Coturnix japonica: one gene and its partner. The protein of the gene in region 2 purifies or fractionates together with the protein of the main gene of each other region. This does not show direct contact. Links are inferred from orthologs where the notes say so. Each region holds a gene or a part of one and is shown on either strand. Other genes may lie near its edges.

The links.
Region 1: the proteins of SLC7A14 (region 2) and GOLM1 purify together in Homo sapiens (co-immunoprecipitation; 3 studies listed by BioGRID and IntAct, with this or other methods). This does not show direct contact. The link is inferred for Coturnix japonica from reciprocal best matches to the Homo sapiens genes SLC7A14 and GOLM1.

Annotation. Positions count from the first base shown.
Region 1 is NC_029547.1:36,934,560-36,937,368, reverse strand, and holds the end of GOLM1 (Golgi membrane protein 1), read left to right. Parts: intron 1-661; coding exon of another isoform or gene 662-784; intron 785-2,063; coding exon 2,064-2,188; 3' UTR 2,189-2,239; downstream 2,240-2,809. Other genes in the region: NAA35 (N-alpha-acetyltransferase 35, NatC auxiliary subunit), read right to left, coding at 662-784, 2,270-2,410, 2,641-2,708.
Region 2 is NC_029524.1:17,484,265-17,488,095, reverse strand, and holds part of SLC7A14 (probable cationic amino acid transporter), read right to left. Parts: intron 3,248-3,831; 5' UTR 3,168-3,247; coding exon 2,864-3,167; intron 59-2,863; coding exon 1-58. UniProt on the Homo sapiens protein: Imports 4-aminobutanoate (GABA) into lysosomes. May act as a GABA sensor that regulates mTORC2-dependent INS signaling and gluconeogenesis. The transport mechanism and substrate selectivity remain to be elucidated.

The DNA of each region.
Region 1 (2,809 bases), on a different chromosome or scaffold from region 2:
TTACATTAAGGGGATTAGTGATATTTAATAAAGGGTACATTTTATTTGTTCCAACTGACCACAAGACCACTGTCTTCCATGCTTAAGTACAAATACCATTAAGACTGCAACAAATTCTGAGGTACTTGTCCAAAAAAAAAAAAAAAAAAAAAAAAGTTTAGACAGACCTTAGGTATCTACCCTATACACTGGTCCAAACATTAAGTGTTTACAATCTAGAACTGAAAAAAAACTGCTGCCAGATTCAAATCTACTTTCTAGCCATTCAAACTAATTTTTCTCATCTCTCAGGGAAAATTATCAGGCTTCAGATGAGCTATGAATGCGTGGAAGTTAACTTCCTGGTAAAACTGGTATGTTTTTCAAGTGACACCAGCAGGTATCATACAAGAAAGAACTATGTTGCTGCCTGTCCTTTAAGATATTCAGCAGAGAGAAGCCTTGGAAGCATGAGCACAATCCAGATTCCATTACTAAATGTGATGAACTGCTGTGTAAAATGCCACCACACTGCTCTGATCAGTCCTTAATAAAAATATTCAGCTTTACTCAGCATTTTTGAAGAGTACATGTAAGGGTACCCTGGATCTCAAGCAAACTCATTCAATCAAACACATTCTGTCATTAGCAACCACTAATTTTTCTAGTATTTTAGTCTTACCTCATGGTCTGGATTAGGAATATTCTCAAGAATCATTTTAGCTTGCTGGAAGTGTTTGCTAGCTGCCATGTAGAGATCTGCTGATTGAGGAGGGGGGCTGTACTTATTTAGATCGGACATTTCCTAGCATATTAAAGAAATATATAAATACATGTTAAGATCAGTTGCCAAAAAGTTGTATTTTTATTACCCTGACTGAAGATGATTGTGTTGAAAAAGATAACGTTAAGAAAAAGCAGTAAAGTTAAAAACATTTATTTTAAAAGGCAAATACTAAGCAGCAATACATTGTTTAATTGTCACTGTGTACTGCCACAAGATGTTGCTATAAAGTGATACCTGTTCACAACAACTTGCCATTCATTTGATTATTTAGTCCTATGCAGTAGGGAATAAAATTATAGGGAAAAAAGGAGCAAAAAAGAAAAAAAAACAAACCCAAAACATGAAGCCAAATGGATGTAACAGTATTTACTCAAAGAACATTTAAGACTCGCTCTACTCAAATCTTCACTTTATAGAATTTTGAAGCTTCAGCTATTTTTTTTGAGAGTGAATAAAAGCTTCAGTGACAGGGAAGAAGCCATGTCTTAATTTCCACAACAGCTATTCATGATAATACATTAAGGAGTGTGGCTGGCATGCTATATATTACAGTTTCAGTGCCAGATAGACCTGTAAAAGCTTAAGAAATTGGCCAACAGATACCTAAGCTCAACATGAAATTTTGAAATTGCTGTAACTGAAGCAGAATAACCCCACATAGGACTGGAGTATACTCCAGTCACCAACTGGAGGAGGAGCACTGTTGCAGCAAACACTGAGCTGAATACAAACCAACCGGGTTCTCTTAAGCTTCTTTGTGATGGCAGACTGGGAAAGACCATAAACTGCAGCTTGGGAGATTTAGACTGAACATGACAAGAAAATGCAAATAGTACAGCCCTGAATCAGGTTATCCACAGACTAAGTGGAGAAGAAAAAGTAACAGGACCAGGTTTTCCAACAAGGAATGTGTATCTCTGTATTTTTTCTGGACTTGACTAAACACAGATACAGCTGGTCTGATCTGTAACACTACTTAGGATGAGACTGAACAAAGGTAGACCTCCACATATCGTGCTTCCAACCAGTGCTTCCATTATTTAAAAGTGAAATCTAGTTTCATCCTTGTTTCCTTTTCCTAACTATTGCTGTAATAAAAACATTCTACTAGACAAACTACAACAAAGAAGTCTGTCAATGGACTTTCAACAGACTTCATTTTCATGCAAATCAACAGAAGCATCTTAAACTGTGAGAGTAGATCCATTTCCAACTATCTAAAAGTCTTAGTAAGAATTTAAAACAGATTTCCTTGCATACAACTAAAAATAGAACTTCCTGCAATTTTGATTTAAAGAATTACAGAACGTCTTAAGCTGGAAGACCATAGAGCCACTCTGCAACCCTCTATCAAGAACAGGAACACCCTATTACTGTCTGAGGATGCCCAGGTATGCCTTAATACAAACTCTGAGATATTAAGAGCTCTTTTTGTAATTACAGTAGTGTCTAAGTAAAGGATTAGTGACAAAAGCATGAGTGGTGCTGCTTTTTTAAAATTACCTTAAACTGCAGGTAGTGCACTGGGGGTGGTGTTATAACACTGTTGAATGGAGCAAATCTGTGCTCATACCGCACCTGTTCACTATCCAATTCAAACTTTGGTTTTCTTACTTTGCCATCCATGTCAAATGCAATCATTGTCTAAAAAGGACAGGATAGAGTACAGTGAGAAGTGTTAGTTTTACACTGTCTTTTGCGCAAGCAAGATAAAAGATAGTCTAGACAGAGGCAAAACAAGTAGAGAATTTACTATACCACATTAAAAACCTGAATTTCATTTTTAGTTCCACTAAAAATAAAGATGGCATGTAATCTATACTTTATTCTCCTTAAAAAAGAAGCCACTGATCAATAGAGCATGTAAAAATTACCTTGTACATCCCAGCACACATGTTTTGGTATGCTTGGCTCATAGTGATCTCTCTGCTCAGAGGGCGAACTGCAAATTTTAGATGAAGAATTTTTAAATTCCATATAAGCAAGAGAACTTATTTCAGATTATTTCCAAGAGTGCTGTTCAAATATGACATGTGTCACTAT
Region 2 (3,831 bases):
GTATAGGCAGAGCCTGTGGTCTTGGGGACCCGCACTCCAAACTCAGCGTAGCAAACACCTGTTTGGAAAGAAAAAATGTTTATATATTAAAATTCATCCACAGAGAGCATCTGTGGGCAGTATGGTGGTGTGGTCGTGGTGACCCTATTTCCATACAGTAGCTTTGATGGTGACAGATGTTCCTTCTTCATCTGATAGAGATGCTAATGTGTTCTGTGCTGTTTCCTCTTAAGATGTTGTGTGCATATTCTGGGTCACTACAATGCAGGTGCATGTATGAGCACTGCCCTGTTCATCCTGCTCTCACTCTAGCCATGCCAGATGAGTCTAAAGCCATCTCTCACAAAGAACTAAGTTATTTTAACACTTAAGTATTGCTTGTAGATCTCATACTGAGGATTAACTGCAAAACTGTAAAGAAAGGGGAGAGGTGAAAAGTGTGTAACTGGAGCTGCTTGGGAGGAGATTTCAATGGGATTTAATACTTTCCAGACTTACTACATCAGGGTATTTTTCAATAAAATCCTGATCCTAACACACTGCTATCTTGAAACAACCATCAGATTTTATTAAGTAGTTGTGGATGGACGAAATCAGAAATTCTCAGGGTGTTGGTCAGGGTAAGTGCTGGCAGGACCGCATTGGTGGGGTCCTTGTTCCTAGCTACAGTTTTCAACACAACTCTTCCAAACTGGAGTTCTATAGGGCTGGCCCAGCTACGAGAGCAACAAGATGTCCCAGTCATCCAGTCCCACACAGTCATTATTCAAAGCTGATTAAAAATGCATGCATTCCGCAAAGGTAAGACATTCACGGATAACTGCAGGCTTGAATGATTTATGAAACAGGTGCTCTGGTGGGGACAAGTGTCTGGTTTCTGTCTTTGGTAGCTTTAAAAATCATATAATCTTTCTTGGCAGCAGTACTTTCAGCCAACGACAAGATAAGGCTTGAAGAGGGTTCTTATTGATGCACGGCGATAATGGCAGAGCAGATATTTTTGTATGTATAAAATGTTTGAGTTTCCAATTACTCTACAGGGATTCCAAAATCGTCATCTTTCTCTATTCATTGTATACTGCAGCCTGTAGGGTTTATCTGCTTTAGGTTTCAGTGTATATTAAGAAATAAATCAATCTTTATCATAGCATGTGGTAGCAGTCCGGGGGGCTGGGAGGTGCAAAACTTGTGTTCATACCTGACTGCCACTGAGTTAATAGCAGGTGGCATTAATAATGGCATTTTAATTCACAATTCTACAGGTCCTCCAGCAGAAGTAGAGTTCACAGCACTCCCCTCTGTATGCATGGCTTAAAAAGGAAGATGATATAACTTATTAGGGCATAGATTTTCTCTTACTAATCTCAGCTCCATCTGTAGTGTAGTACTGATAATAAAGCTTCATAACTGAATGTTACTCTGTGCATATGGCTGTGACAAACCCCAATGCCATCAAACTCAGTGGCATTCCCATTTCCCAGAATGATTCCCAAATTTCTGTGGAACCAGGACCTTGCAACACTGCTAAGTTCCATCTCTTCTTTGCAGGTGCCATTTCCCCTTTTGATGCAAAAGAAATCCTGACCTCCATGGAATGTCTGCTACCAACGGTCTCGTCTCTTCTCAGCCACTTCTGAGCATTACAGCCCCTCTCAGCACCAGCAATCTACACTACATTCTGGAAGGAGCATCTTCATCCAAAGACCCTAGGCTAATTTGCAGGTAATGGGCTTTGACTTGATAACCAAGGGTGAGCACAGGTGATGTGGATATCTGCCCGAGCTGTGAACCAGAGCAACTCCTTAAAATCCATCCATGCACACTTGCAGGATGTGAAGTGAGAGCTGAAATCCCCACTGCAGCCTGTCCGGCTCCCAGCCCTTACTGGGTTTCACTTGCCAAAAATGCGCTGCTGTTACAAACAACAGCAGTGTCAATGATGAAGCAAGGAAGTGGCCAAGGAGATAATGAAAACACTTTCCCAGGGCTGCACAAGCAGGGGGGAGATGAAAGCAGGGCTGGGAGCGGCAGAGCTTGTGGGGCCGGCAGGAGCTCCCTGCTGTGGGGCAGGGCCCACAGCTTGGGGGAAAAAAGCTCTTTTTGGGGACAACGTGTTTTCTCAGAGAGGACCCACCCAGGTTGCTCCACTTCATTTGGTTTGCATCACAAAATGGGCTGTGGTGAATGGGGAAAGCACAATAATCCAAGGACTTGAAAAGTAAAGTCAGGTCATTCCCATCCCGCATTGAAGTCCTTTGTCACTGAGTCAGGTTTCCTTGTCCAGCCCACACACGCAAGCTGGATTGCCAGACTGACACAGCATGCAAAGTCCTGTGAGCGGGGAGAGCGGGGGCATCACATCATCATGTTAGCGCTGATCTGGAAAGGACAAATGCCAGCAGTACTGGCTTATGTGGAAACTGCAGCTCAGGCCATATGCTCAGCTGGGTTCACGGGAGGCAATTCGCTGACTTTTCACTGAAATATTTAATTCCTCCCTCTCTGCACATTGCTTTGTTTACTTTATTTTGTTGGAAATTCAAAGAGTGATCCTGAGTGAACGGGAGCCAATAAGAATGTTTCCAAAGGTAGCAGAGGAGTTGCAGGGCTCAGCCCCACCTGCACCGTCCTGCTGGCTCCTCGTACCTGGGCACCCCATCCAGGTGGGGAACACCAGTGCAAAAGGGGTTTTCAGCGTAAGGAGATGTCATTACCCCTCTGTGATGTCTCTGTCCTGGTTGCCATCTCCTCATGGATATTCCCAACATCACGAGACCAGTGCTGGTCATTGGCATGCTGTTCAGCCATGAAGGTAGCCAGAGTGTACCCAAGACCACACTCAAAACCTGCTAGAATGACTCACCTGACAAGATGGAGGCGACAGCAGCGATGATGAAGGACACGATGACTCCAGGCCCTGCCATCTCCTTGGCCACCAGGCCGGACACCACATACATACCGGTGCCCACGCAGCTGCCAACACCAAGGGAGATAAGGTCGAGCGTGGTGAGGACCTTGGCCAGCCGTGTGCCCTGTCCTCCTGCTGTCCCTGTGCCCTCCAGCATTGACTCCACAGGCTTGGTGCGCAGGACGCGGGAGCGCAGAGCATGGCCTGCAGCCCCCCATGGCACCCGCCGTGGGTCCAGGCGTGACAGGAGGCCGCTCATGGCTGCTGCTGGGTGTCCCAGGCTGAATCTGTGCTCAGGGCTGCGGCCGCATTGCCAGTTCTCCAGTGATGGCAACCCAGCTGCAAGAAAGAGAAAAGGTCTCACAGTGTCTGTTTGAGCTGAAACAGCAAAGGGAGAGGTGTTGTCCCAAGGGGGTAAGTTATCAATATCATCCCCCACACAGCAGGAACCTGAAACCCTCCAAGTGCCTAACAAATACCAAAAATGCTCCTGGGCAGCCATGAGGGGCTGGGGCACATCAGGTCACCTCTCTGAATACTTCCAAATGTTGCTGCCTGAGCCAGTCTGCTCTACATGGTGGTTACACCTTCCCAGTCATAAGATTGGCTCCAAGAGCTTGAATTAGCTCATGCTTTTTCCTCGTCAGTTATACTTTCAGGCACTCTTCAGACACAGCCCTTTTCTTTCCTTGTCTTTCTCTTGTTTTTAACAGACTGCATAGTTCCCAGGCAAGAAGAAATGACCCCCTGGTGATGTGTGATGACTTCGAGAAAAACACCAAGAACTGACAATCTCTGCATACTGATACACAGGAAAAAAAGGAAATATTTTTTCTTTAATATGCATTTTAGCCTGACAGTTTCCTTCCTATTGGTGCAGAAATTTTTATTATCATTATTGCCCTGGAGCCAAAACAATTATT